Oreochromis niloticus: one gene and its partners. Each later gene encodes a partner of the first gene's protein in a complex. Links are inferred from orthologs where the notes say so. Each region holds a gene or a part of one and is shown in the gene's direction. Other genes may lie near its edges. The genes, in order: bone morphogenetic protein receptor type-1A, bmp2b and gdf5.

Evidence for each region.
Region 2: the proteins of bone morphogenetic protein receptor type-1A (region 1) and bmp2b are in contact, whole or in part, in a crystal structure (PDB 2QJ9), measured with the Homo sapiens proteins. The link is inferred for Oreochromis niloticus from reciprocal best matches to the Homo sapiens genes BMPR1A and BMP2. Residues at the interface, in NP_001393490.1 of Homo sapiens: His66, Cys67, Pro68, Asp69, Ile77, Thr78, Asn79, Phe83, Ile85, Cys100, Met101, Lys102, Glu104, Gly105, Phe108, Gln109, Asp112, Arg120, Ile122; in NP_001191.1 of Homo sapiens: Lys297, Pro330, Phe331, Pro332, Leu333, Ala334, Asp335, His336, Ser339, Asn341, Ile344, Val345, Leu348, Asn350, Ser351, Val352, Asn353, Ser354.
Region 3: the proteins of bone morphogenetic protein receptor type-1A (region 1) and gdf5 are in contact, whole or in part, in a crystal structure (PDB 3QB4), measured with the Homo sapiens proteins. The link is inferred for Oreochromis niloticus from reciprocal best matches to the Homo sapiens genes BMPR1A and GDF5. Residues at the interface, in NP_001393490.1 of Homo sapiens: Gly65, His66, Cys67, Pro68, Ile77, Thr78, Phe83, Ile85, Glu87, Cys100, Met101, Lys102, Glu104, Gly105, Phe108, Gln109, Asp112, Ser113, Lys115, Ala116, Gln117, Arg120, Ile122; in NP_000548.2 of Homo sapiens: Arg399, Phe435, Pro436, Leu437, Ser439, His440, Glu442, Pro443, Asn445, Val448, Ile449, Leu452, Ser455, Met456, Pro458.

What each region holds. Positions count from the first base shown.
Region 1 is NC_031978.2:119,383-130,193, forward strand, and holds the start of bone morphogenetic protein receptor type-1A, read left to right. Parts: upstream 1-6,799; 5' UTR 6,800-7,037; intron 7,038-10,811. UniProt on the Homo sapiens protein: On ligand binding, forms a receptor complex consisting of two type II and two type I transmembrane serine/threonine kinases.
Region 2 is NC_031980.2:4,166,569-4,176,977, reverse strand, and holds the start of bmp2b (bone morphogenetic protein 2b), read left to right. Parts: upstream 1-5,683; 5' UTR 5,684-5,888; exon of another isoform or gene 5,889-6,237; intron 6,238-7,187; 5' UTR 7,188-7,200; coding exon 7,201-7,555; intron 7,556-10,409. UniProt on the Homo sapiens protein: Growth factor of the TGF-beta superfamily that plays essential roles in many developmental processes, including cardiogenesis, neurogenesis, and osteogenesis. Induces cartilage and bone formation.
Region 3 is NC_031970.2:3,001,715-3,011,935, forward strand, and holds the start of gdf5 (growth/differentiation factor 5), read left to right. Parts: upstream 1-5,140; 5' UTR 5,141-5,793; coding exon 5,794-6,283; intron 6,284-10,221. UniProt on the Homo sapiens protein: Growth factor involved in bone and cartilage formation. During cartilage development regulates differentiation of chondrogenic tissue through two pathways.

The sequences.
Region 1 (10,811 bases):
AGACAGAGATTAATAACAGATATGATTCGATGCAGAGAGGTCTATTAACACATAGTGAGTGAGAAAGGTGACTGGAAAGGAAAAACTCAATGCATCATGGGAATCCCGGCAGCCTACGTCTATTGCAGCATAACTAAGGGAGGATTGAGGGTCACCTGGTCCAGCCCTAACTATATGTAGGGATGCAACGATACCAATTTTTTCAAACCGATCCGATACCGATACTTGGATCTGAGTACTTGCCGATACCGAGTACAAAAACCGATACTTCTGCCACACACAAGTTAAACTTAACCGGTAGTAAAGAAACGACCCCACACAACTCTTTAACACAAACGAAACGTTTACTGAACGTAAGGGCAGAGACAAATACTGTACAACACATCCCTTTTTTATGATATTGATATTCCAATTCCTTAACCAAATGAAATACACTGTATAAATGAAATAATTCCCTTTCAAATTATATTAAACAACCCAACTTATGTTATCACCTTTTGGTAAGTGACTCACTAATATACACTCCAAAACACGTTATATAAATCCACTAAACACACAATATTCACACATGGGCCCCACACACACTCACATTCACACTTGTTGCAGGCCTGTTTGCTGCTCACGCCGGACGATGGAGAAAAATCCTCTTCTCCCCAGTAAGAGCACAAAAGTCTGACTTACAGTTCCGTTGCTCGGTAGGTCGCCGTTCACCAGTCCCACACTAAATCCACTCCCTGCGGACCCGATGCTGTCTCTGCTACAGCGCGTTAGCCAGTCACTGTCCAGCTCTCCGACAGTCCACAGCAGCTGCCTCCGTGGCGCAGCCAAGCAGTCCGGGCTAGCCTTTAGCCTCGGCGGTCGTAGCTGGAAACACAGTTTTCCACGGACGGTGGTGCGACCGTTGAAACAAAAAGTCACTTCACCCACACTCTGTTGCGAAGCTCTCACACGGTTAGCTTTCTAGTCACACACTCTTTTGTGCAAGTTAACCTCAGTAAAACTAGCCGAGTCTCTCACTTTGGTTCAGCTAACCTCGTGCATCTCTCCATGCCGTTCTCTTCTGTGAACTGTGAACACCTTATGTGGCGTTCAAGTCCATGGGAATTATGATTATCTACTCCCAAATTCCCATCCGGGCTACATAAGTATCGGTTCATGGTATCGGTTAACTTTTACGAGTACGAGTACGCACACATTTTACAGTATCGGCCCCGATACCCGATACCAGTATCGGGATCGGTGCATCCCTAACTATATGCTTTAGCAAAAAGGAAAGTTTGAAGCCTAATCTTGAAAGTAGAGATAGTGTCTGTCTCCCGAATCCAAACTGGAAGCTGGTTCCACAGAAGAGGGGCCTGAAAACTGAAGGCTCTGCCTCCCATTCTACTTTGAAATAGAGATTGAAAATGTGACGTCATTCAGGGGTAAAACCGCAAAGGATTGTGGGAACGAGTGGCAAGCCATACTAGCGCACGCAGGCTTTCACATGAAAACAGTCACACAGCGATAAAAACAAACACAAAATGGCAAGAAGCTGTTGTATTATTAAATGCAATAGCCGGTCGCATGACAGCCACGGGAAGCCGACGGGTAAAGAAATCGTTTTTATCGGATTACGTCGTGGAAGAAAAATTGTTCAAGCCATGTTTCCGAAGTAACAAAGAGCCGACGGATGGCCTGGATTGCAGCCATTCGAAGACCAAATATAACGTCCCAGAACACTCCAGCTCACATGTTAGTCTGCTCCAAGCATTTCCACAAAGGTACGTCTTCTGTTGTAGTTATTACGTAATTTATCATAACATAATTGTTGATGTAGGTTACAAATAAGTCTTATATTGATTTGAATTGAATTCGTTGCGCTATGCTGCTTTGTTCACTGTGGCTTTGCGGGCTAATGTTTGTTGTGTTTTGTAGGAAAACCAGCCTACAAAATGCTGGAATGCGATGCAGACTGGGCGCCTCTATCAGCCTGGGTCAGACAGAGTTTAAAGCTGCTACCACAGCCAGATTTGATCGGTTAAGAGAGAGAGCGACATCAAAACAGCCACGAAACGTCCCGCATATATGTGCCCAAGGGTTGTATTGAAGCAATCAAGTGATGAATAACTGTTTTCCAGTATGTTGTTTTGCATTGTTGTTTTTCACCGAAGCAGCTAATAAAGCATAATCGAATACAATTTTGCTTCTTTCTTGTAAGATTCTATAATAGAATGAAACAATAATGCCAGTTATATCGTCTTGATGCATTCTCAATCATCCAGGAAAGTAAATCTCCAAAAGTTGAATCTGTTCATCTGGACGTAGCGTTTTGTGGGAGAAACGTTTGGTCACTCATCCAAGTGACTTCTTCAGTCTCAGACGAAACGTTTCTCCCACAAAACGCTACGTCCAGATGAACAGATTCAACTTTTGGAGAATGCCAGTTATAAATAAAGACAATAAATTGAATGAATTACGAAACACTCATGTTATTTCTATTAGATCTGAAAATGTTGTGAAACGACAAATAGATGCGTTTGCCTGTACAGGAGATAAAGGAAAAGAATGTAACAACAGCTGTGAAATGGAATAGTCCAAATCACCAAAGTAAACTGGACCTGGGCTTGTTGCAGGGATCTGAAGTTAATAAACAGCTTGTGAGTGTCTGCACTCACACTTAGGACCATATAGTAATAAATATGTGCGTGATGGAAGTTGGGCAGCACGCTAACGTCCTTACTCCGCTCTGTACGCTCGTACGGGTCTGACCCTTTCACTCCTTTGATTTTTTCCTCGTACTTTTTTTTTTTTTTTTTTTTTTGCCTTTTCGTCAACTCTGTCTTTGTACGGACCTGCCGTGTTCTCCGTCGTTTTGTACATAACTGTTTTTGGGGCAAATAAAATGCAAGTAGGGATTAAAACTGCAGAATTAATGATTACTGGTGCTGGAAATGCTAGCGCTTGATGCAGTGTTTTGATTTTGTTGCCACGGGTACCCAGAATGCAATGCGCGAAAGTCATGTGGTCTGTCAATCTCTGTTCTCTAGGAACAACAAGTAAGCCTGCAGTGTGAGAGCGAAGTGCTCTAATAGGGTGAGATGGTACTTACTATGAGGGCTTGCATTTTGGGTTAACTGAAGGCTTTTAAGGGAGTTTTTGGGACTTCCCGATAATAATGAATTGCAGTAGTCCAGCCTGGAAGTAATAAATGCATGAACTAGTTTTTCAGTGTCACTCTGGGACAGGATATTTCTAATTTTAGAGATGTTGCGCAAATGGAATGTGAACTTGAAATGTGAAGAAGACTCTCCATTTACATGCACAAATTGGAGTCTATTAGATAGATATGATACAAACCACTGCAGTGCAGTACCTGTAATACCTACAGCATGTTCTAATCGCTCTAATAGGATATTATGGTCAACAGTATCGAACGCTGCACTGAGGTCTAGCAGGACAAGCACAGAGATGAGTCCACTGTCAGAGGCCATAAGAAGATCATTTGTAACCTTCACTAAAGCTGTTTCTGTGCTGTGATGAGCTCTGAAACCTGACTGAAACGCTTCAAATAAGCCATTCCTCTGCAGATGATCTGTTAGCTGTTTGACAACTACTCTTTCAAGGATGTTTGATATGAAAGGAAGGTTGGAGATTGGCCTATAATTAGCTAAGACAGCTGGGTCTAGAGATGCTTTTTGAGTAAAGGTTTAACTACAGCCAGCTTGAAGGCCTGTGGTACATAGCCGATTATTAGAGATAGGTTGATCATATTTAAGATCGAAGAATTAATTAATGGCAGGACTTCTTTGAGCAGTTTTGTAGGAATGGGGTCTAAAAGACACGTTGATGGTTTGGAGGCAGCAAATATTCAGAGGAACAAAATAAAAATGTGGTTCCTTATTTAATATCTGATTTTTATCCCCTAAAAATCTCTATTTTTCATATCTGCAGCTTTAAGAATATTTGAACCAAAAACGAAATAAAAAATGAGAAAATGAGTCATTGTACTGAGAAGAGGAGTATTCGTGTTTGACCTTTATGAACTTCCTCTTTCATTTTTATCTGTCATCAGTTTTCTGTAACTCCAACCGAAAAACATGACTGTCACACCCACACATCATCGTCATCATCACCATCTTCATCCTCATCATCAGATCATCGTCATCATGATAACGAGCGTCGTTCTTGTTGAGCGATGATAATGCTGTTCAGTTTGGAGCCACCAGAGGGAGCTAGTGCCCTCTCCTGATTGCGTTTCAAAATAAAAGCCTGCGGGTTTTTGAGCAGCAGAGATTGGACTCAGAGAGGAGTGAAAAGGGGAAGAGGTCTCACTCTGCCGCCAAAAACAGCTCTTAGACTACATCACTGACTTTCTAGGCAGTTATTTTTGTTTAAGCCTCAGAATGCCAGTGGCTAAAAATATAAAGTAAGTTTATAAATTATTTTTAAATCAACTTTCCAGATGTATAAAAAACCTCAGATATGATGCTGACTCGGAGGATCGTGTATTTATGTGTTTTTGTAAAGATAGAAAAAGAAAATATGTGGCTCAGCTTTTAGAACCAACAGGAAGCCCAAATATATATTTATATCATCAAATACCATGTTTTGAATTAATAACATTTTATTTATTGTTCTAAATTAGCATTTGAATCAGTATAACATATACCTCATATAAGTATATTATTATTATTATTTGCAATGTTGAAGCTCAGCATTTATACTTTCTTTATTTTTTATTTTGCTGAATCATTGAGACTGGAACAATTAAAATGAGATTTTACAACATGTGTTTGGTGGCAGCATGGTGGCACGGTGGTTAGCACTGTTGCCGCACAGCAAGAAGGTCCTGAGTTCAATTCCACCATCAGGCCGGGGTCTTTCTGTGTGGAGTTTGCATGTTCTCCCTGTGTTTGCGTGGGTTCCCTCCGGGTACTCCGGCTTCCTCCCACCGTCCAAAGACATGCAGCTTGTGGGGATAGGTTAATTGGATAATCCAAATTGTCACTAGGTGTGAATGTGTGAGTGAATGTGAGTGTGAATGGTTGTCTGTCCTTGTGTGTTGGCCCTGCGACAGACTGGCGACCTGTCCAGGGTGTACCCCGCCTCTCGCCCTATGACAGCTGGGATAGGCTCCAGCGCCCCCCGCGACCCTGAAAAGGATAAGCGGAAGCGAATGGATGGATGGTGTTTCCTTTGCTTCCAAAAATACCAAAAGAAAAGAGTTATTTGTAGTCATAACGAGCTGCCGCGTGATGATTTATGTCATAGTTCATTAAGATAAGCCAAATCACAACAGCTGTTGCCCGGAGGCTCTCATTTATTTGTCCATAATACTTTTGAACCTGAATGTTTCGTTCCATATACAATCAGTAAATTAAGGGAAAACGCTCCCAGCTGAGCCCTCAGGACCAGGTAACTGTATTTCAAGACTGAAGGTTTTTATTTGCAATTTGCGCACAGGACCAACGGTCCATGCATGCTGGAATTATTGCACAGAGCCCTCCAGGTCAAGTTACACTTTTTACAAGATACAGACAAAGCAACTAAAAAAAGGAAAATAGAATTAAAGCAAGGAATAGAGCAATCATAGTATTTACTATATACAAAAACAGTGTACAGAGAGGGTGATAATACACTTCCTAGTACTGGATTCAGTAGCGGTTTTTGATATGGGCGACACGGGCGGTTGCCCGGGGTGGCATCGTGGTGGGGGCGGCATCACGGGCATCGGCAAAAAATTTTTTTTTTTTAAAAAATGCTCGTACTCATGCTGCCCCGACGTCATGCCAGCGCATACTGGGGATGGCATAGGCACTGATCGGTTTTCTATCGCCCATTTGCTGGGAGCAAGGGCGCCCTCGTTTGCGAGGTGCGCCTGCTGCTTGCGGCACAGGGAGGAGAGGGCGGGGCGGCGGGGGAGTCTCTGGCTGGCTGGAGCAGCATCTAATAACCAACTCGCAAAATAAAACAAAATAAAAACAAACCAACAAACACGAAAACACCGGACATCATGATGCAGACTTATAATTTGCACCAATGTTTTTTTGAAATTCTATACGCGAAAAGTGAGCGCGAGAGCCCTCGGTGCGCCTGCTCGGTGCTGAAGTCAAAGTAAACTTTATTGGCATCTCCGCTACATACAGTCCAGTATATAGAGAGACGAGACGACGAGGCTCCAGTTACAGCAGTGCAAGTAAACGAACAATAAATATTTAAGAGTAAAAAAATAAATATACACTTTAGGACTCGGGGTAAAGGGATCAATAACAATTTAAAATTTACAGTTTACAACTTGATGATTTGAAGTCTCACACAACCCGTCGAAAGGGGAGGGGGGCGGCTGCTTCCAAATAGAGCACAGAAGGAGTGTTCACCCAGGGCGCCAAACAGGCTAGGACCGCCACTGACTGGATTAGATTCGATTGGATAAAACTTTATTAATCCATCGGGTGGGTTCCTCCGGGAAATTCAGTTCAATTGCATGCATAACATTGCGCTTATTAATGAATCCTTCATACTACAAACATGTTCTAACTTGCAGGTCATTCAGGTACACAGGATGCAAATAATGCTAGATAAGAAGAAAAAGTAAGAAAACAGAAAAAAATATTGGGGGTTTTTAGGGAGTGAAAATAGAAGAACGCGAAAGCCTCACACCTGGGCCCCTCAAACCCTCAATCAGACGATGATGCACATTTAATCTCAGGTCCTCTGAAGTTACCTGAGAGGTGAAACAGTGAGCGCGTGCAAATTTTCCACACGCCCCTCGTTCCGACCGGAAGTGTTTTGTTATGCACAGTGAGTCATCGCGAGACCAAGAGACGATCTCTGCCTGGTATTTGCTTTTCTGTCTAAAAGCAGCGCAAACCCGCAGAGGCGAGCGGAACGCACGGAGCGGAGGACGCCGACGAAAAACGTCTGGAAATATAGATTTCTCCCCTAATAACGGAGGGAGGGAGGCTGGAGCGAGCTCGAACCGGTCTTACAGGATGAAATAACGCGGGAGAAAAGGTTCGAAACATCCAGGAGAGAGTAAAGACTCAGGAAGAAAGGTGAGTCAAACGATCCCAAACTTCAGTCCAGACTGCGGGTATGAGCCCGACTTCTGAGCGCCGTCTATTTACTGGAGTACACGCACTCCCTTAGGATTTTTATTTTTCAGTGAATCAGCTTTAAGTAGGCCTGTGTGTGGGTGTGTATAAAATAATTTTAGTGTGTCTAACTGTGGATGTAAGTTAAAGAAATGAGAATTTTATCGGTGTACAGATTTTATTTCTGTGCCAGCAGATAGACGCATCCCCTCCTTCTCTAACTGCTGTCGTGGAAAAAAAAAAGTTGGCTTTAGATTTGCTGCAGCAGAAATTTGGCTCGTTTTTGATTTAAAAAGTGACAGATTATCGCTTTAAACTCACAAGGGCTTTATCTAAACCCTAGATTCGGACTATTTTGGGGTGTAGGGGTGTTTTCGGGGGGTTTTGGTGAAGTTTGTTTCGGTAGAATTTGTTTCCAGCTCGGATAGCCGCATTCCTGTTAGCGCTGCTAGCTGCGAGTTAGCTGTGAGCGGGTTTAAGGTGCTGAAACGAAGAAGAAAAACAGGTAAATAAGTTTGTTGTCAAAGTTTTTTAACGGCGCTTTTCGTTGCTGACCTTTAATGTTGTTAGCCTGGTTAGCATCGTGGGCTAACCAGCCGTGTTTCTGTATGTTTACCTGCTTCAAACTCTGATTTTTGACCCACCTGAGCAGGCAGGTAAAGCCACCTGTGAGCTCTGTTTCCAGGCTGCTTCGGCGTGTTTTAAGATGGTTTTGATCTCACTTCTGTCTCTTGTTTATTCCGCCATGTTTCTGGCTTTTAATCGTTCACGTGTCTGCAGCTCATAATCAATACAGTCCACTGATCGACTAATCGATTAACTATCGCGGCTTTTATGTCTTTGCAGTGTGAGAGGTTTTATAAGGTAGCATAAAAGAGTCACTTTTATTTTCATGTACCTCCTTAAAAAATCTTAAAGTACTTATTTAAATTTAAAATACTTTAAATTTAAACAAAGGCCATTTCCTATTTTTAAAATGCGCGGACATGGGAGTAATCTTTCCAATAATCTGTTTATCAGACATATCAAATTAACTTAAAAAACTGCTGCTGGTGTGCAACAGCGGGATGAAAGAGTTCCCGGAGAGGCAGCTGATTCCTGAGCACCTTTAATGTGATCTCATTCACACCTTTGTCTAATAAAAAACTAAACACACCCGCACACCTGGTGATGGCAATGCAGCTTGCCATCACCAGTGTGTGAATGTGTGTGTGAATGGGTGTGTGAATGGGTGGATGACTGGTTGTGTAAAGTGCTTTGGGGTCCTTAGGGACTAGTAAAGCGCTATACAAATACAGGCCATTTACCATTCACATCCACCTCTCACTGCCCAGCACTGTGTGTGTGTGTGGGGGGGGGGGGTTTAACTCACGGTTTCTGTTAAACTGGAGGATCTAACATCCAACCACATCTGGCATATACAGTTTAATCACCTGTATATGAAACCATTACTGGAACAGCCAATCATGTTAAAGGCACATTCATCTGTGTCGTGATTCAGTAGACGTCCTCCTTCTTTACAGCACAGACTCTCACTGTGTTTGCTTATATGAAAATCTCAAACATGAGGCCGACGCTGTAGGAGAATGAGAAGTAAGCGGCTTAAAGTGAGCACAGTTACCTGGACCTGTTTGTTGTATTCAGTAAAAACGATGCGTGAGCTCTTTAACAATGCTCTGTGTCCTCTGTGTCATGTTCAGCGTTTACACACCCCTGTCATGTTTCATCATTGATGACCAATGCAGAAATAATAAAGAGGAGATTTAACATCACAACAATAATAATTTAATCTAAATGGTCTTTAGAGTCCGTAAAATTCCCTTAAGATGAAAAGTGATGTGAGGTTTTCAGAGTCGTTGTGTCAGATGCTAGTTTGAAATGTAACAATGACTGTTGAAGCGTTTTTGGCTGTGGAGGCAGAGCGAGTCCAGATGTGCAGGGAAAACCCTGAAGCCCGAACTGCCCGCCTTGTGTGGGCGAATGACATGAAAATGCCAAACATTATTTTAATTTACAGCAGGAGTGGGCGATATGAGGTATGTCACGATATTTCTAGAACATTTGGGATCATCCTACCAGTGATGCTTGCAGCTCTGCAGCAGCATCTGTAAATGTAAATCAGCGACTTTACAGCCAGTGATGAGGCGTTAACACTCGAGTTTAACGGTAACTAACTCGTCAGGCACGATTTTGTCACATTTCCTAACTGGGATCTTAAATGCTGGTCGAGCTCTTTGAAGAGCTGCTTTTTCACCGATGTAACGGCATCATCAGTGATTCTATCCAGCTAGCGACGCTCGATGGTCATTTGTCCAGATTTGGGTCCCACGTCACCGGCTGCTCGTGTCTTCTTTGTTGGAAGCGGGGTGTTATCGATGAAAGAGGGGTGCAGAGCAATGCAAATATCGATCATATCGATACCAATGCTGGTATAGGTACTGGATTGATCCAAGCACGACAGGATCCTTAATATATGCTTATATTAATTATAATTAACTTGCCTTTACAGATATGCGTACTGGTATCTGCAACACTGGCCCTGTGTTTACCTCTGATTTGCAGCATCATGCAGCACTGCTCGATGGTGTGTGCTTTTGGGAGGGTGTTGAAGTAGCTACTGCTTTAGGTACTAAATCATCATCACAGGCTGCTCTCGCTCTCAGACATGTCTGGGCTTGTCTTGCTGTTGCACACACCAGGGAACTTAAACATGACAACATGACACTTTAATATCACTCAAAGTTTTATACCAGTGTTGTGCCGACGATACGATTTAGAGGCACAGAGTCGGTAAAAATCGCCTGAAGAGTTTGTGGCATGAGAACTGCAGCGTGTTGGGATGGTTGCAGTAAAATCCTGCATGATGTTTCTGGACCACATGTTTAAGAATCTAAGTGATCCTCGTACATGCTAAAGACTGTCTGTTTGTTTGATTATTGGACAACAACCTCGAGCAGCTAAGAGAACCAGAGAAGTGAGGTCCCAAACAGAGTAACAGATGCAGGCTCTTTCTTAATCCAAGTGACTTAAAAACAGGCTTAAACCTACAAAATACACGAGTTTTGGGGTGTTTAGTGCTGATTTCCTGGTTGTTTGCATGTTTGCTTACTGTATATGGATGCAGGGATGATAACAGATATTATTTTCACTGTAAGCCGACTGCTGATGCCTCGAATGGGCCTCTGATAAACATTTTTGACCCGCATCGCTTTAGGCGGCGTCTTTTAATGGCTGCTGAGAAGAGGAGGAAAACCTGTTTGGCTGCCCCTGTGAGACCTGGCTGCTGGCATTTATCTGCCTCCTGCATGTGGGTCATTAAAAGGTCTTCAGTGACAATCAGGAGGAAGAAGCTTCAGAAATGTTGCTGAAAGTAGATGCCAACCCTCTGGGTCTTCTTCTTTGTTTTGTCTTTTGCTGCGTCTTTAACTCTGTTAATGGTACAGAGTCTCTTAATATTGTTTAATGCCTGTTTGAGTATTTTTAAAAGGCTTTAGAATCTGTAAGGGTGCATGAAGCCTTGTAGGGGTTTTTAACATGTTTAGAAGCTTTAACAGTGTCTCAATTCTGTTTATTGCATCCAAAGTCTTTAAAGAGTGTTGTGTTTAAAGTCTAAGGGTGTCTAAGCTGGATGTCCGTCTGTCGTCTGTTTAGTAGTTAGCTTTGAGATGCTAACAAACAGAAATCAGACAGTCCGTGCATGCATCCAAACCTCCACAGCTAAACGGCTAAAACCAC
Region 2 (10,409 bases), on another chromosome or scaffold:
ATTGTCAGTATGTGTTCTCTTCTAAAGGTCATGGTACTCCACTATGTGTGTTTGCCCATATAGTTCCACAGAAACAAGCATCATTTTAGATGGGGTTTAAAAGCAGTGTTACTCAGATGGATGCTTGCAAAGACTTACATGTTTAAAACCCAGAAGCAGCAGAGCTGAGAGATTAAAAAGCAATTTAATATTCCAACCAAATATTCCATTAGATCTACATAAACAACCTTTAATTGAAAGCATCTTGAAAGCATCATCTGCTGAAGATGCATGTTCCTTATTCCTCATCATGTATGGATACTAAGTGTTCCTTCCTTCTTTGGCCTGTAAACAGCTGCTTGTGCTTAAGCGGTAAAATGTAAATCTTGACGCTGGCTGTTTACGTAGCCCAAGCTTCTAATCATGCAGACATATAATTGAGTGACGCGTGGTGTCTTTATGAGTGGAGCTGCATTCAAAGGGCAGATCCCTGTATTTATGTCTTTCTGCCTCTCTCTTTAAAATCAAAGTAGCTGCAGTGCAGCTATACCAACTAGTTAACTAGCTAAATGTATTTAAAATGTTTATGTGATTCTTAATGTAAATTGTCACAGTGTGAGGTCAGTACAGAGCTAAATGTTTTACACTGCTGATACTGATTTTACAGCAGCAGTTTACCAGGCACGAAAAAGGACACTGCATGAAATTCAAAAGATGCATCTAATAACAAAATACATTATTTTTTAGACTTATGGTGGAGGATTTGAGTGTAAAAGTCTTTTTTTATTGTTGTTTTTTGACAAAAGCCAGCCCAAAGTGATTTCACAATACAATAATTATAATATCTAAAATAGCAACAACTTCTGTGGATGAAGGAGCAACCACGATTCGCTGATCAAAACTTCCTTGCACCCTATTTACACAGGAAATTAAATCACAAACAAATAAACACTCTGCCAATTTGCTAAATTACGCACAGCTTCTTGTGTGCGACCAACCTCAGCGTACTTCTCAATATTTGAACCATGCGAGCAAGGTTTGGACCCTCTCTTGTGATCTCTGAGAGGTCGTATAATCTGGAGGTGGACTTGTTGCTCAAATTAGTGGGTAGAGAAGCGTGCCACATGTTCAGTATCCATAAATATTGACTCTGGCTTTCTAGCTGGCCGTCTCTGACCTTGGTGGGTTTCCATTTTGGGACAAACCTATTTGAAATGTGTCCCATTTTGCCACAATCTCTTTCATGCACCATGTGCACGTGCTTAGCGTAGTGCAGCAGTCGTGCTTCTGCTGTCAAACACGTGGACTGATGAAGATATTACTGGTTTCTAAATTAAAAAGACGCCACTGCCTTGCAGTTGAATTAGGGATGAGTCACAACAACAAATTGTTTCCTGGTTTCAAACAACATCTCTGAAGATTATCTCCCTGGGGACACACATACAGTCTGTTAAAACTACATCTGGCTACATCAAGGCAGAGGAATGCAGGCCCTGTGTCTAGCCAAGCTACTGTTAACAGCAGGTGAAAGGCTAATAGTTAGATCTGCAGTGTCATCTCGGGGCTTTGTCTGCCCCCTTACTTGTGGAATGTGCGTGATGACAAGAGAAGGCTGCGCCGTCCACATCCACCATAACATGTGCAGACAGACACATCCATGGGACAACAAATGAGCATGTAAAGCACCGTACTGAGGACAATAAGCCATGTCTTCTTCTGATTTTTTTGACAGGATCTATGTGTTAAAACACCACTATCCTCATCTCTCTCAAATAACCTCAAACATTTCCCCTTCAATACATTCATTATGCTTTCTTTAAAAGTGCCATGTATTGTTCTGCCATAAGGGAGTTTCCATAAAAAAGATACATCTATTAGATGAAGCAAAAGTACATGGTGGTGGTTTACTGTATATTATGTTTTTGGTTAGAAAAGAAGATTTCCCCCCAAAGCTGAATGATGAATGGAGCATAACAATAAGAAATATGACTTTTAAATGATTACATAATGTATCATTTGTACATGTGTGGGTCTGAGTGTTTTATAACGCAAACCTGAACCTGCTATTTTTTCCAGTCTAACCTGAATTTTAGCTTTATGTTGCCTTCCGTTTGTCAAAGAAAGGCAGTAAATTTTCATATAGAATTTTGGGAAAAACAACTCTTAACTCAAAGAACGAAAAGATGTCACAAAGCAGGAACAAAGCGGTGATTGTGCGACAGTGTTTGTGAGTCTGGGAATTTTCAGTTGTGTTGATTCTAAGCACAGACTTAAGGCCTCAGGGGTCGGATCAGAGACTGGTCATATTAGTCCTCACGACTGGGACAAAAGGATTTCCAAGACCACCAGTTTAATCTGATAACAACAGTCTATAGCTAAATTGTTGTTATGAGGATGGACAGATGCTCCACAGCACTGTTTTTGACCTACCTGTAGGTCATTGCAGACTTAAAAAAAAAAATCAGGGAAATTTTGGTTGTGTCAGCTTGAAATTGTGTTTAATTGCTTTGTACCTGCAGACGCTAGAAATGTTAATTTCTAAAAAACCTTTTTTAACCTTGTTAACATGCCAATGTGATTGTTTTTATATGCTAGAAGGCACACCAGGGCACACCAGAGAGTGAGACAAAGACTGCAGTGTTGCAATGACAGGTTTTAAAGCATGGATTTAGAAAGCCAGGTTTCATGCATAACAAACCTAAAGCGACGACTTTACTCTGCTGTGGACATGGGCAGCTGGAGACACTGTGGACATGTAGTCATTGCTGTTGTACTTCTGCGAAGCCCATTGAAGTCCACCTTGCAATTACAGTTTACATAATACAAAGTTTCCAAAGATGAGTCCACAGTCACAAAAATGTACATCACTTAGACCCAAATCAACCCTCATGGACACAGATGTGCTAACACCCACATTAGGAACCAATCCCTCCAACTTACAGGCTGGGGACTAATAGAAGTGGCAACCTTATCTTTAATAACAGAATATGATTTGATAATGTAATCAGGTCCAACATACATAACGTCTATATAGGAGAGACTGTTTCATTTAGTTTAATTTTACAGCTAAAAGATTGCTATTAACTAATAACTGTCAATTGATTTTTTTTTCTGACTTTTTCTGACTGTTGACCTGCTGAACAGCACCTTCTCTTTATTCTGGACCTCCTGATTTACAGTTTAAGCAGCAGGTTTTCCTCAACTGCTTAACAACTGGACCTATGTTTTCCTTCATTTTGCAGGAGAACTTATGAGTGAAGCTCACAGATCCAGTGGAAAGAGGATGAGGGAGCAGGCATGGACCAATATTGATATGCATATTAAATTAGGGAAAGCCCTTTTTTGCATAAGGGTTTATATTCATTTAAAAAAAACTGCTTCTGAACATTTAATTGTGGTGAATCTACGTGAGTTCTTTTAATAAATAATATTATTTAATAAACTTTAATAAATGTCTGGAGAGGGACTTTTCCAAGATTTTACGTATTTTAAAGAAATAAAACATATATATTATGAAAGCATGGGGCTGAAGCTAAACATACATGTGGGAAACTCTGTACAGCTCACAGGCTTGTTTTTCCTTTTACTATAAGCAGCGGGACCAGCACAGCAGTGCATTTAGGTCTTTAAAACAGCAGAGAGCCATTTGAGCACATGTTGACCTTGAATTTGATTCCATAACTTTGAAAGAATATTTACTACAATCACAAATAAACAGATACTTGTTAGAAGAAATAAGCATGCCATTAGTGGTGGTTGTTGAGTTAATAGTGTCTGGCTAAGTCAAAGTTTAAGGCTCTCAGAGACTCTCTCAGTAGGTCGTTCATTTGAGTTTGAGATAGCATATCTCTACCCGCCCTCTCTGGCCATGAGGGTTTCATTCTGTGATGTTGTTCTTTCAATCAGCATGTAATTGGATCAGCAGCGATATGATAAGCAATGACATATACAGTGTCAGAGCCACAAGATCTTCTCAAACCACCCTGGGCATCACTGATCAAGTCCCTCAACAGCCTTGGCTTGGCACATTCCTCAGAACTGGCCTGACATAAGCTGAGCCAAAGGAAACACACTCACACAATTTATGCATGTCCATGCCTTCAAAACACACACAAACGTTGACATGATCATTTAGTGAAACCACAAAAATGCCTACAAAAAGAAAAAGACGGACAAATAATCAGATAAGGCCCTCTGTTTCTAATCCTGTCACTCGAGTAATTAAAGATGCTCACAGCTTGCTGTGGGAGGACTTATCCTGCAATCTACAGCAGCCTGAATGCAGCTTTTACCTGGATTTGGGTTTAGAGCACTAGGTTTACCAAGTGGTATTTTGGCAACAACAGAGACTCAATTGCCAGCAGATTAACATAACAATGGAGAAAATCTTTATGAATAAATGACCTGTAGTAGAACTAAAGTCCATGAAAAAGACTGCATCACAATCTGTCACCATTTGCTGATTCTGATGAATAAATACATTACCAAAACAATAATAAGATCCAAATAAGCTAAGTAGATTTCAAAGAAGCTAATTAGATTCAGCACCTTAAAAAAGTTAAACTCTGAAGTGCCTGGATGCAGCAAGGAAATGGAAAGGAAACACTGTAACTCAGACAGCAGCACACACTCATTGGCCTTACCATGTTTTAATTGCTAAGTGGATGATCCAGGATTATCCCTGATAAAATATTACTGTCCTAAAGGAAGACAAATATCTTGTGATCGCTGTGGGATTTAATCTCTCGCTATCTTGCGAAGAAGTCAGTATGCTTTGGCCCAAACACAGCCACCATTATCACCTAATGGATAAGAGCAGAGGAACTCAGTGGGGGCTGTTTTTTTTATGGAGATCACATAAACACCAATGCTACTGACTACAACCCCTCAGGCTAAAAACAAAGCAGCAAAATTTCCCTCACCCATCTGTGCTTTCAACGGCTACACAAAAGAACCAAGTACTTTTCCTAGAAAAGCCAAATCAACTGGTGCGCTAACATGCTTCGCTTAACCGGTCATCCTTTTTAAGATGCAATTTTGTGTGAACTCTAAATTATAAACTTAGTGAAAACATTACTGCCTTCTTGGGGAATTTTTCTTACAAGATTTTATCACTTGGCTCGTCTGCAGTACTGAAGAATAAGACAGCAATTCTTGCAGCCAAAGCTGCCACAGATATATTGATAAAGCGCTGCGAACTGGAAAGAAATGAAAAAGCCTAATGCAGCCAGCGGGGAGCGCGTGTACAAGTCACACATGCACAAACATTCACACAAAGTGAAGTTCAGCAGGAGAATGTGACAGTCACTTTGCAGCATCTAATCCTCTGAAACCACTAAAGCAACAAGTTATAAACCCATTATCTGTTAGACTTAATCCAAAAACTAAACATTTTTGATCCAGCCATTAACACCACTGGTCAAAAATGTGTCTATGTAACAGCAGGAGCTGACATGTTATTGCTCAGGGGTGGTCAAATTCACATGAGTATTAAACCATCTAGGGACTGTCAAAAGCCATTTTGATGCTACTAAAAAACATTTAAAAAGAACAATCTGGAAAAACAACAGCATGGTTTTAACTGCTCTTGACTTTATTATTTCTTCTGTCTCTTGTTTCGTTTTCATTTCAATGATGTATAATGAGCGTAGGTAGGGGAAAAAAAGGAGAGTTACATGTCCAAGCCTTTCAGTCATGAAAACGTTTGGAGCCTCAGGGGTAGAGGTCCGCAGGAGGTGCTTTATTGTGGACAAATGATTGACATCCCCTTGGTGACATCACTACGACAAAAAGAGCGCTGGGGGAAGAGAAGGCAACAATCAATTCAAACACTCCAGTGCGGCGCACAGAAGAGAGGCGACGCGCTCTCCAACTCGCAGCAAGAAGGTCCAAAAGAGCGACACTTTAAGGTCCGCTTATCGTGTTTCTCTCTCTCTCTCTCGCGGAAAAGTTCAGTTTTAGCAGAAGATAACTGTTCGCTGGTAAAGATGTTCAGAGAAGCTTCTTTATACTTAGATCGGTTATGCCTACGCGAAGCCGTTTCCTCGTAGAATTCACATAATTTTTTTTCCTTTCGGGACTGACCAAGACCTAACCCGATTCGCAGCTGGTGATAATATGTGTGAGAGGCGATCGGCGAAGGCTATGGGCTGTCTTTGGTCCCCCAAGGAGAAGCAACGTGGATTAAACACGAATTAATGTGGAATTTATCGGAGCCCAAAGGTGGAACGACGACCGGACACAGCGCTTTCTCGTCAGGTAAAATAAAAACTCACGGTTTTTTGATAAACGCTTAAAGTACTTAATTGGCGTAAATAAAAAAAAATGAAATGTTTGTACAATAACTTGCTACACGAGGAAAAGCTTACTTTCTAAGTGACCCCCCCCCTCCCTGCTAGTTCTTGGTTTATATGTGATTATAGGGTGTGTGCGTAAAAGTTAAAGCGTTCTCCTACACACGGAGAAAACTATGAAAAGAAGAAGAGGGGAAAAGGGTTGTTTCTTTGGAAGTCGTGCTGCTCAGATGATGCTTAGGTTTTTCATGTTTTTTTATGTCCTGTCCCGGGCTACATCTGGTACGCACGTCAGATCTAACACCTGCGAGCCTCTTGAAGTAACTCTATCCCTTATGATTACACACGACCGTCAAAGCCCCTGCAAACAGACGCTTGTAACACCGTCTGGTTGCATCTGTTGCTGCTGTGCATACTAACCCGTTTCCCTTCACTGTATTCTTTGATGCTTCTTGTGATCTGTCGGGCTACACAGACTTGCATTTCTTTTTTTCATACCACCTCCCGTAACGTGATTTCTTATCTCCTCTAATTGGAGACTTTTTGTCTGATCTCTATCCACAAATCCTTTGATTGTTTTTTCTGAGTCAGTCCCTCGTTTTTTTGTTCTTCTCTTTCAGAGCTTCCTCACCTTGATATTTTCATGTATCACTTCATGTTAAGACCAAACTTCTCTTTCAGCTTTGACGCGCTATATTGCCGGTGGGGGTCTCGCTCTCTCGCTCTCTCTCTCTCTTTTTACCCACTTCAAAGTGAAGCGTTGTCTTCCCTTTTAACCTGATTTCCTTCAATCGTTCCGACTGTGTAGGGGGATCACACACAGTTTAGGGAATGCTGCAGTGAGGTCCCTGCCGCGTCTACCTCATGTCAATACCTCAGCGCCAGTGTATTGACAGAAACCAACTTTCTCCACAGGGACTGACTGATCATGGTCGCCGTGGTCCGCTCTCTCATGGTACTGCTGCTCGCTCAGGTGTTGCTGGAAGGTGCTACGGGACTTATCCCCGAGGTCGGCCGGAGGAAATACAGCGAATCCGGGAAGCAGACCCCAGAGCAGTCAGAGAGCTTCCTCAACGACTTTGAGCTTCGGCTTCTCAATGTGTTTGGACTGGGGCGCAGGCCGACCCCGAGTAAGCAAGCCGTGGTGCCGCAGTATATGGTGGACCTTTACCGTATGCATTCAGCAAACGGAGACCATAGCACCAAACGACCCAAGAGCATGGGGAAACACGCAGAGAGAGCCGCCAGCAAGGCCAACACGATTAGAAGCTTTCACCATGAAGGTATGTATTAGTGACATACCTTTACCTGTCAGCCGGGAAGCTTCTCGGCTCTCTCAGACAACCCAAACCTATATTTAAACATGACTCAGTGCGTCAAGACTGAACTTCAGAGTCTTCGCTGTTTTATAGAGGTTTAGTCATTTACAGGTGACACGCGTCTAAGTTACAACTTACTTTTAAAAACGCTCGGGATTGCCTAAAACTCAGTAACGCGACTTACAAACAAGCATCTCGTACGCAATTAATTACCTCCCACAAATGTTGTGATGCAACATTTAACCGAACATCCCCCTGGGGCTGCTGTCAGAGGCTTTAAAACATCAAGAGGCGGTGGTATCCCTGGAGTAATTTGTTTCTTAATAATTGATGGTGTTTGCGTGGGCTCCGAAAACAGTTTTTCCAGACACGCACCACAGGAGCAGGATAAAGGGCGGTGTGCCTTTGCGCAGGTGATAGTCATCACCCTGTTACTTCAATAACACACGACATGACATTATACTAACACGCATTATGACAAAGTCATCGTGTCAGACTGAATTCTGAGTCATTTTTAACAAGGCTGAAATTAGTTTTTGGTTAAAAAAAAGGGGGGGGGGTACCCGCCTTATTCGTCTTTCCAAATCCCCGTTGAGCCCGTGCAGTGCGCCATTACGCATGTTCCAATAACACTATAATTGCTCACTTAGTTTGTACGGTGGATACGGTGCTGCTTGTTGAATTTGATGTTTCAGTTCAACTCCGTTGCACTTCAAAGATAACATATGCTGCTCATATATATAAGACTGGCACTAAAAGCCTCATACATCCTGGATAAGGTGCACTAAGTTCAACAACTACACAGATGTTCGCACAGTGTTACAAATAAAGTGGACTTTTATAACTTAAAAAAAAACAGCAGCTGAGAAAATAAAAATGATGGTTTACTTATATTCTATTGATCCGAGGCTATATTGTCTTTTGCACCTGGCTGTGATATTAAAATGACTCACGCATGATAAAAAGGAAACACTGCAGTGTTTACTGTCAAACATATAGTGATGCTTTATCACCATTCACCATCTTAGGGTCTATGTTCCATTTGTCAAAGCATACAAGTGACTGTGTCCATAGGGGCTCTACACAGAGTCCTCATACAGAGTTCTAAGTGTTTGACTGGGGAAGTTTCCATCAGGGGTGAGTCAGAGGGGTGGTTGAGTGGTTGCTTGGGTGCTCTCCAGAGGCCTAGTGCAATGACACCAAGTGGCTACACCGACACACTACAAACAACCCTGGCCTGGGCAGCCGGGCTGAGTGACTGCCCCCAGCCAGCTACTGGAAACCTCTGCCACCGGCCAACACACCTTGACACCACTGGCCATTACGAATGCGCTCAGGCTGTGTTTACATACGTCCCCCCAGCCCTTTCATCCCGTGCTAACAGAGCTGCTGGGCTGTTCGTCTTCCCACGTCAGGAGACACGCAATTGATGGCTGCTCCATATAATAAGCATGTATCTACAGATGTAAACGCAACACATCAAAGCAAACTGCTCTAATCATTCATCACATCTGCTGCCTGATATTCATTTCACTAGGATAATTAGTTTCACTGCTATCAGTTTTCAAAAATAACCATTTCCCATGCCAAATAGAACATTTCCACTACTACACAGGAAGTGGCTGCCAGAGACACGTCTCTGATGAATGACCCAACATTAGCCTTTATCTTATGTTTTGGCATGCAGCACAAAAAGAAATTAGGAATGTTGATACACTCATATCTGTGGTTCACACGTTTGTGACAGGCCCTGACTTGTTCACATAGCCAAACCTCAAAGAACAGAAAACGAGAGAGAGTGAGAATATTGTTGTAGAAAGAAATTGAGGAAGACGTGAAAGAGGAGGAGAGAGAAAGAAAAGAGGATTTGGGGCTAAGAGAACAGAGGGAAAGGGGGATTTGGGAGCTGAGGAACGAAAGAAAGAGAGGGATTGGGGACAGAGGAGGGGGAACAAGAGACAGGGGGCTTTCCCACATCAAATAAGGAGTGATGGGCCTAATTGAGGTCTTTGTGCCTCTGGAGGGAGATTTAGGATGAGATGGTGGAATTTCCTAAATGCCTCCTTTGAAAAAGCAAAGAGTTCAAAGTTTGTGTTTACGGCGCTGCACCAAACAGATTAAAAAGTGTGTCTATACATCATCTGTGATCTTCATAAAGTAAGAGTTCAAAGTGGGAGGGCTGCCTCAAAGAAAATTGTAGCTTTTACTAAGACTTCTGTCATTTACCGTACACTATAGAGGGGTATACAAAGATCTTAACTGTATACAGTTTATATATACTCTACTTTCCATTTGTCTTTTATTATCGTCACATTAATTGTAACTTAAGTCCTTGTAATTTCAGAATTAGTTATTAAATGTAATACCTTGACGCATAAAAGAAGTATTCCAGTGCTGGCAAAATCTACACTATAAATAAATGTTGATGCAACAGTTGGCCTTTCTAGTTTTCTTCTGGCCATTCTCATTTTCGATGAAGTCAGTATATGGTGCAACTTTTTTCATGTGTACTTATGAAAATATTTGCAGCAGCCAATTCTCACAGTGCAAATGAGCCATTTGAAGTCTGGCTGACTAGCGTGTTTGATCTTATCGATGGATGGAAGCGCACTGCTTTCATCTTCTGACATTTAACCAGGTGAATTTATGAGCATGACACTAATCGCTGTATTACATCCCCATGAGCATTTCCCTGCTATTACACTGAGTCATACATGCAAAGCACGAATATATGATGTATACCTGCTATGCAACCGCATGCAATCACTCACATAACCACGTGGTAGCTTGGCTGGATCCATATACTAGATCCGCTCGA
Region 3 (10,221 bases), on another chromosome or scaffold:
CGCTTGCAGTTTGTTATAAAATCATGACTTATGACAGACTGTTGATATGAGCGTCAGGATAAATCCCTCGCTGTGTCTTTGACATTCGCCAGAATAAAAAGCAGCGAGGCAGCTCTTCGCCTCGGAGCAGCTCAGGCGTACTGGAAACGGTTGTTTGTCAGTTGGCTCGAATCAGACTCCATGTGCACTTGATGTCCTTGGTTTTGGCTCTGGCCTGGGATCCTCGTTGCATGTCTCAGACTCAGAAATGTCAACAACTTATCTTTCAGAATGAAATGTTCCCCGCGTCCTGCATGCCACACGAGCCAGACCTGCCAAAGGAAAACCACATTTTCTCCAAACTGTGTCCCAATCTGCTGCGCTCAACGTTTTCTGGAGTGAGACCGGTGGGTCCAGAGCAGGAATCCGAGGTCCGGGGATCAGTTTACATTTCACGCTCAAACGCACACCCACGATTCCTCCGATACAGGAAGTGCCCTCAAATATACACAGGCTATAAAAAGTGTTCACACCCCCGCAGTGTCCATCGGGTTTATTTCTGTAACACATTCAATAACAGCGGAACGCCTTCCTGAAAGTGCATTACAAGAAACAAGGAAGACTTTAAAGTAACACACGAAAGTTAAAACTTCACAAAAACATAATATGAAATGAGCCAAAATGAAAGGTGGAAACACGGTGCTACATTTTGATTAGTGCAGGAATTCCTCTCAGCGAGTGAGAGAGCTGTAGACGTGCACACGTAGAGTCCTGGTAAAAGAAAGTACACCCCGTTCATTTCTACGGTTTACATATCAGAAATGCAGACGCATGAGTGAAGTCCACTTTTACTGCTTCCACTGGGATTCAACTAACAGCCAGGCGCTGCTAATCAAATGCACTTGATTAACTGATCATCACTGAGTGTGAGCACCCCAATCAAAGCAGAAGTTTTGGCAGTTTTCCGGTCTGCAGCACTCAAGCTTGTGTTAACGAAGTGGACGTCTCAGCCAGACTGTGCAACGCTCAAGGAAGCTACAAACAACCACAAACGCTCCATCTCAGACTCTACAGGCTTCAGTTAGCATGTTAAACTTTGTAAGAGCACAATTAGATAAAGACTGAATAAGTGTGGCTTGTTTGGAAGCCCTGTGGCCTCTTCTTTCTATAAAGAGCAAGTTTGGCTGCATCCGAACGAACCGCAAGACGTCTGGAACGATGTCTTGTGGACAGGAGAGAACAAAGTGGTGGTGTTTGCCCATCGTGGACAGCAGCACAGTCGGACAAACCAAAACACAGCATATCAGCACAAACACCTCATACCAACTGTCAGCTCAGCGGCGGAGGGCTGGGGATGCAGGCTCATTTTGCAGCCATAGGACGTGGGCAGCTTGCAGTTATCGAGTCGACCGTGAACTCCTCTGTAAACCAAAGTATTCTAGAGTCAAATGTGAGGTCGTCTGTCTGGCAACTAAAGCTCAGACCAAACTGGGTCAACAACAGGACGATGATCCAGAGCGCAGAAGCAAATCTCTGACAGGAAGCTGCTGCAACGGTCAGGTCAAAGTCAGACCTCAACCCGACCGAAGTGCTGTGAGATGTGCATAAATGAATCCACACAAACCTCAATGAACTGTGAAGAAGAGTGAGCCAAAATTTTACCACAATGACATGAACGACCCATAAAGTCACACAGAAAACCATTACTGTAGCACTTTCACACACTGTTGTAATATTCATTCCATTCACTTCAATTTTATTCACTTAGCACCAAATCAGTCGCCTCATGTGCTCCACTGTGCGCCGTGAAAACACACTGGTCAGTAATTAATGACGTTCAGTTGTGATGTGGTTTTAAGGCACTGTCACCTGGAGTCAGGTGTGAATGTGCAACAGCGCAATCTGTTACCGGTCACATCCAGTCGAGCCGATCCCAACAGTATCATCCGATCACTCCTGTCCTTCTGTCATGGCCTCAGGTGGGCAGAAAAGCAGCTGAGGTCAGAGAGAATAAAGAGAGGGAAAGACAAACACAGCACCAGAACCAGAACCAGCTCCAGTTACAAACCACCAGAGACCAGCTCCACTGCCGGGAGCTCCGGGGTTGAACCCTGGCTGCTAATTATTCCTCGAGTTTGGTCAAAACTAAAGTTATGGCACCGAGCTGGAGCTGCTCGTGGCATCATAAATTAAACTGGCAAACAGTGTTAGAATCAGAACCGACCGCCTCGTCTCCCGGGAAGAGAAGGAGACCAAAACACTGTAAACATGGATGTGTGAAAACTCGAGGTTTTATAATCAGTCAAATATGAGACCCACAAGTGTGTTAACTGTAATTTAAACAGGATAATATACTAAAATTAAATAGATGTAATACATTAAAACTCTAATGCAGTACAGTCATTGATGGCTGCGTAGACTACGAGAAAAAATACACAAAGTGAGTTTAACAGTGTGCAAGAGGCAAACAGTAAAACAGAAAAACAAATACCCACAACACCAGTCAAGCTAAAAACACGACAGGTACTAACTGTGGCCAAAAACTACATATTCATTAATATTCAGGCAAAACATTTGCAGCCTGCAGGTCATATGAAATCACCTGAGGCCAATTCTTAAGATTTAGGTACAGTAACAAGTAGGGATGCAACGATACCAATTTTTTCAAACCGATCCGATACCGATACTTGGATCTGAGTACTTGCCGATACCGAGTACAAAAACCGATACTTCTGCCACACACAAGTTAAACTTAACCGGTAGTAAAGAAACGACCCCACACAACTCTTTAACACAAACGAAACGTTTACTGAACGTAAGGGCAGAGACAAATACTGTACAACACATCCCTTTTTTAAACTCAAATGATATTCCAATTCCTTAACCAAATGAAATACACTGTATAAATGAAATAATTCCCTTTCAAATTATATTAAACAACCCAACTTATGTTATCACCTTTTGGTAAGTGACTCACTAATATACACTCCAAAACACGGTATATAAATCCACTAAACATACAATATTCACACATGGGCCCCACACACACTCACATTCACACTTGTTGCAGGCCTGTTTGCTGCTCACGCCGGACGATGGAGAAAAATCCTCTTCTCCCCAGTAAGAGCACAAAAGTCTGACTTACAGTTCCGTTGCTCGGTAGGTCGCCGTTCACCAGTCCCACACTAAATCCACTCCCTGCGGACCCGATGCTGTCTCTGCTACAGCGCGTTAGCCAGTCACTGTCCAGCTCTCCGACAGTCCATAGCAGCTGCCTCCGTGGCGCAGCCAAGCAGTCCGGGCTAGCCTTTAGCCTCAGCGGTCATGGCTGAAAACACAGTTTTCCACGGACGGTGGTGCGACCGTTGAAACAAAAAGTCACTTCACCCACACTCTGTTGCGAAGCTCTCACACAGTTAGCTTTCTAGTCACACACTCTTTTGTGCAAGTTAACCTCAGTAAAACTAGCCGAGTCTCTCACTTTGGTTCAGCTAACCTCGTGCATCTCTCCATGCCGTTCTCTTCTGTGAACTGTGAACACCTTATGTGGCGTTCAAGTCCATGGGAATTATGAGTATCTACTACCAAATTCCCATCCGGGCTACATTAGTATCGGTTCATGGTATCGGTTGACTTTTACGAGTACGAGTACGCACACATTTTACAGTATCGGCACCGATACCCGATACCAGTATCGGGATCGGTGCATCCCTAGTAACAAGAATAAACTAATATACATATAAGCTACAGCGCTGCACACCAGGGGACACAACAGAAAGGCATTTCTGACATTAGCAGGGAGTTCAAATACCAGTATGCTATTAATTATTCCAGGAAAGATCACACTAGTCAGTATGCCAAAATTCCCAGGAGTGACAAAAAGGCCCATTCTGGTAAACATGACAGCCACAAAGCTCGGCACAGTGGAAGTGGACATTGTGGTGTCTCAGCAACGTCCTCGGCACGGGTTAATCCCATCCACTGTCCCATCAGTGGTTTTCCAGCCACACAGCCTGGACATCTGTTATGTTAAAGGAACTTGTTTTAAATTTCTGTACTTATAATAGCTTTAAACTTTCCAAAGTTACCGTCTGCTATGAAAAGAAGGAGAATAAATAACATTTATATCATGTTGTGAGAAGATATGAGCTGAACTTGAGTTAGAAGTCTGAAGATATTCCAGCAGTCTGTGAAAACGCTGCCTCCTGGTGGGGAAAGTTTCTAACAAAACACGGAGATGATAATTACAGTAAATGAATTACAGTCACGAAGGCCGGCTGACGACATGGTGACAGACATGTGGTCTCTTTTCTCTACCCGTAAACTCCTTCCGCTGGTTGCTGTGATGGTGCAGGGCATGCTGGGATAGGTGACACCGTTACAAGTTTTTGTGATGGTTTGCTTGCTTGTATAGTTTGTTTGTGTGGTCTATTTCCACAGTGCAGGGGGTGATGGTGGATGGAGCAGACCGTGGAGTCACCTGGTCCCAGACTTCTGAAGCTCTTCTTCCACATGACTCCACCAGCGCACAGCCTCAGTGCTCGTGGTTTTTGTTCATGTTCGTTTAAATAAATTTGATGTCATTGCTCTTCATCCCGTGTCTCACTCTTCTTTGATGGCTTCTAAACAAGTGTGAGATGCTGACAGATGACAGTAGTGACAGTGCGGTGTCCACTCAGGTGTACTGTGGCTGCTGGAAGAGAGAATAAAGGCTTTTTAAAGTAGGTTTACGTATGAGAAGCAAGTGTTTCGTGTTTTGCATCTATACCAGAGTATGCAGTGGGACAGAATGGCAGCTCACAGTGCTGAAAACATGAAAGGTGGATGTCCCAACAATGATGTCACCTATTTCAGTTTAGAAGATTGGAGTTTGGATTTTTTTTACCTTTATAGAAACTGTGAAGCATGGAATCATCCAGAGATGCTGCTGAGCGATATAAATATGTGTTAATGAGAACAAAGAGACACAAAGCACAAAAGTGCGCCTCATAATCTGTACTGCTGAAAAACACAACACAGATCAATCCGATGAGTGGAGATTTTCATTTCTGCGCTTTTTGGCTCGTTTCAGTGATGTAAACTTTTTCTTTACCCTCCTGAGTGTGAGTGTGTGTGTGTGTGTGTGTGTGGGGGGGGGGGGGTCCTTTCCGTGTTGCAGCTTCAGTGAGTCATTGGTGGAAAAGAGGGAGGAAGATTTGAGGAGAAATATCGCTGTTAAATGAGTTTGGGCAGCATGACATCACGCGGTAATTAAACCAGTTTTCTGGAATTCCGTTTCCAATTCCTGCGCTCAGGTTCGCTGGAGGAGTTTTTCGAGCACCTGCAGGTTGGTGTGTGAGTGAAATATTTTCACTGGACGGAGTTCAAACTCTGGAGAGAGAGAGAGAGAGGGAGGGAGGGCTGCGGCATTACGCCATTCTTCCCTCTGAGAGAAAAAAAAAGGGGGATTTAAAGAAGTTTCTTACAAGACTTCCAACAGAACAGTTCCGCGGAGTGTTTCTGCGCCTCTCAGCCCGGGCTTTGCGTTCTGCTGTGCCGGGCACATCTCTCCAGCACTATGCTCCTCACACATGCCGCGTGGGACAATAAAGCTGTGCGGGATTTGTTTCTTCGGCTTGTAGACGTCCGTTACAGTCTCTGCTTTCACCGCCTGGCACGTGTCTGTGCCGAGTTTCAGGCGGGGGCAGCAGCTTTCGTGCATTTCTCGTGAGGATGACCCACTCGGATTTACTGTTCTTTGCCGCTTCAGCTTCCTTGTGATCTCACTGCACTTCGCTACGATGACAGCCTGGCGGGAGGCGAACGCGCTTTAGGATGAAAGCCGTGACGCGTCTGTCTCTGCTGCTCAGCTGCTGGACTCTGGTTCACCTGCATCCCGGCCCCACGGCGCGTGTCCGCGCAGGTCCTCCGGTAATCAGAGGAGAGGCGTCCAGGACGATCAGCTCAGGGCGCACGGAGCCCGTGCGCTCCCGACTGCCCGGCGGGGATGCGTACGATAAGGCGCACGCTCCCGCTGCCATTAACGCACACGCACGAGCGGGTGGAGGAGGTGGAGGTTCATCGGGGAGAAGTTTGGGAAAAGTTGCGGCCGCGGCGGTGCGCACCTCGTCCCCGCAGAGAGCCCGCAGCGCGCCGGCTCCGGCGGCGCAGCGGGGGGCCGCGAGCCACAAACAGCCGCTCGTGACGCCGCACGACTACATGCTCGCGCTGTACTGGTCTCTCTCCAGCGGTGACGTCAACGGCAGCACGTTGCACGAGGCCGGCCTGGCCAACACCATCACGAGCTTCGTGGATAAAGGGCAAGGTAACCGCATCACCCACGAGCCTCTGTGCGTCCCGGGGAGTGCTCCCACGTTACTTTTCAGTCCCACGAAACAGAGTGACAGTGACACGCTGTTAGTGCAGGGATGGTGGCAGACACACACCCAGCTGAGCTGTGATGGGTGGGTGGGGGTCCACGCTGTGGGGGCAGCAGGACAGGTACTTGATGATGCATTTGTGCCCCTGGTACTCTGTGGGGATTAAAAAGCAGCTGGAGCAGAAGGTTAGAGGAGATCTGAGGAGCCAGAGGATGAGCAGAGGATAGGGGCTGTTAGCTGCTTTTAAAGTCTCACTTTAGAACCCACAGCAAGTTCAGACCTCACACCCACAATTCATTAACAATTAAAAAAGGGGGAGTATAAAAAGGATGCCACTGGAGCCTCAGGTCCCACAGAATGAGAGCTGCTTTAAGGGACTGGAGGCCAGTGTGGGGGGCACCAGAGGAGGGTGGTGCTGAGGGCACAGGCTGAGGATTGTCCCGTTAAAATCAGAAGGTCAGCAGTGAGTGGAGTACTATGGGAAGGAGCGTTCAACAAACTGGGGGTCAGATTCCCTTTCTGACAGCCAGTTAGCTTAGCTTAAAGAAACAGCTCCATCCAGAGCTAACAGGATGTGATTAGCCGAGAAGTTCGAGTGGACATAATTTTCTGCTATTAGTATATCTCCTCTTCCAGCAGTCACGTGATGTTTTAAATAGTGATTTCAGTCATCCAAAAGCTAAGGCTGCTCTAAACTCTCAGTTTTAGATTTTTTTTTTCTAGATTTGGATATGTGTGATGTCAGTAAGAGTAGATATCCTTATATGGTCCTCCCATCACAGAAGCCACACCCACCTGCTGTTTAATCCGTTTTTTGAGAATTGTAGCCAATCAGAAGCACTATTCTATTTTCCTTTATGACTTCCTTTATGTATGTATGTTTATGTAAAAGCTGACACTGACTCATTTAACCACCTTGTGGTACAAACTTGTATTACAGGAGAAAGACAGCTTGGCTTGAGTTAGACATAAGTTGATATCGCTTTAGCACAAACAGAGATGATGCCTTCATTTCATTTTGTTTTAAACTACTTTTAAACACAGAGATGTGAACGTGTTTGATTTGCATGAACAGAGGCCTGCAGGTGTATCACGACTACTTCCATCAAAACAAATTACAGCTTTTAATCTTTGCACATACACCTTTTTTTTAAAAAAATTAAATAGATCCCACTCTCTGGACTTCCAGATTCATGGAGGTGCTCTTCTGGGATTTTTTTGACAGAACCGGCTGAGCCAATAGATATGTTTCGTTTTCAGTTGTATTAAAGTGCTGCATAAAAAAACCTAAAGGACACGAGTGTAGATTTAATTTAGGCTGCACACATCATCGATGCTGGATTTGTGAAAACTAAAATAAAACTTGGGCTTTTTTTCTACAAACAGCTGGAAATAATTATTTAGCTCCTTTCACTCCTGTTCATTGAGGACTTTCTCACGAGCACCCTCCACTGCACACTTGAGTTTCAGCCAGTTTGGGATCGACAGGAAGTGAAATGGCTCTCTCAGATTGGCTTCAGTTTGGCTCAGGTCACCTCCGCAAATATAAAGTGGGCGGGGCTTATGGGCTTTACTGTAACCAGGCAGGAGGGGGTTACAGCTGTGATGGCAGCTATGTTTGTCTATATCTGGTACTTTAAGGTTTGGTGGGAGAAAACCAAACAGTGGGGATCAAGAGAGCGACTTTACATGTATGAAATTAGAAATGCATTCTAATAAGCATTTTTCTAAAGACCAATAACTAATTTAGTCTTGTGACAGCAGGTAGTGTAGCAGAGGAATAATTAGTGTTTGATGTCAAACTTTCAGCAGTTTTAACGTCTGGAACATGTCTGTGCACATATATGCACATATTTATGTATATTTATTCCTTTGCAGTTGTGAGTCTGTGTGTGTGTGTGTGCTGCCGTGTGTTTCTAACATCTGGTCGGCTCTCAGTGATATATACGGCCTCGTGAGGGTAAATAAACAGTGCTCACAGCCCCCCGTGTCATGTTGTCTTTACGATGTAAAACAGTTTTAGAAGCGTCTTTAAATGAGCGCAGTTTCATGTTCCTGCTGCTGCTGAAGGTTTACATTTCCACCACTTAATGTACTTTTAATGTGGCCTTTATTTGTTCAGCGAGTCGTTGCTGACTTCGTCCACATGCTGAGACGAGGAACTGATCGTTATTTACCTTCTATCCTTTCATTCACTCTTACTCTCTTCCTTTATTCTGCCTTTATTCCTCCGTTACTGCTGCCGCTCCTTCTTTCTTTCTTCCTGCCACATGCAAGGCTGAACCTACCTCCTGAGGGGCCCCAGAGCAATGTCTTGCTCTGGGCCCCCGATGATGCTGTGTGTGTGTGTGTGTGTGTGTGTGTGTGAAGCAGAGCAGCTAAAACCCTGATTAGTCGACTAAAAGTTGATCTGGCAGTGATTTTGATCATTACATTTTTTGAAGTAATTTTTCCCCTTATTAACCCACTCATTTGTTTACCTGTGTGAGGTTGTGGATCAAATGTTTGTTTTCCAATTTTTGGCAATTTGATAGTACAGCAGTGCAGTAAATAACCACTGCATGCAGGAACAGTAGTTAGCAGTGTTGTCTCACAGCTGTGTGGAGTTTGCATGTCGTCACTGTGTCTCTATGGGTTCACTCCGCTTCCTCCCACTGCCCAAAGTGTAGTTACTGGGGTTAGGTTAGTTGGTGCAAATAGTTAAATAGTCCATCTCTCTGTCTCAGCTCTGGTGACCAGCCTGGGATTAGGAGAGATTTGGACATTTTCCCCCAGAGTGGGAAATCCTCTTCACCTGGGCCGGTGCCAATATGTTAAAAAAGCTGAAGCCATGTGTGCGAGTGAGCGACACGCCATTCTCTGGGCAAAAGTAGGTTTATTAGTAGTTATATTACTTTCATAATTTAATGAGTGATGATCAGCCTGAAATGTCGAGTTTTTAATTTACAGATCACAAAACATTTGAATTTTAGAGTCTTTTTTTAAACTAAATATCTGTGTTTTAGAGCTTTATTTGAGCAGGTGACCCACATACTTTAAGGCTATTGCAGTAGTTGAATCCACCCCGGGTTATTTGCTGCATATCTTCCCCTGCGCTCCGTCCCTGCGTTCCTGTCCACTCTCCACTCACCTGCTTAGATAAAGGCTAAAAGCCCTTAATAACAGCACTCAATAAAACAGTCCAGTAATTTTGACTCCTGAGTAAAACTGCTCCATGAACAGTAACCAATAACAACACTGTACTTTACATGCTTAATAAACCCATCCAGTCGGCCAACTCTGACCCTTTGCGGAACCAGTTTTGGCCCCTAAACCACGTGTTTGATGCCCCTGATATATCTGCTCATGTGACAAAAAGAAATTTACATCTTATTTAATTTTGGTCAGTTATAATTTTACTGAGTTATAAATAAATGAGTTTGAAAAAGCTCCTTTCAGAAACAAAGCAGAGATGTTTGGTTTCAGGAGGCTGCTTAGGTCTTACTTGTAAATTTTGGATAGTCTTGTTTTGGCACAGTGAGCCCTGTAATATAAATAAGTTTTCACTAGATGACAAAGTGCCAAAGTCAGACAACTCACCTGAGAGCTCTGCTGCTGCTCGCTGCCCTTCTGTCAGCTATTTTAAAGCCCCGCCCCCACTGGACATCCACCTGAAAGCTGTTAGTAGAGGGATGAAGTCAGAGTTTAGAAGTCAAACGTTTAATCCTGTGTGTTCTGCATTTACATACACAATAATCTGTTCCAAGCCGCTCCTGAAAGAATGTGATTTTCTGAGCATTCTGAAGTGATAAAGACCACACCTGAGAGCTCTGCATCCCTCCAACATTATTTATCCTCACTGATTTACAAGTGCGTGAGAGTTTGTGAAACCAAATTCCTCTCA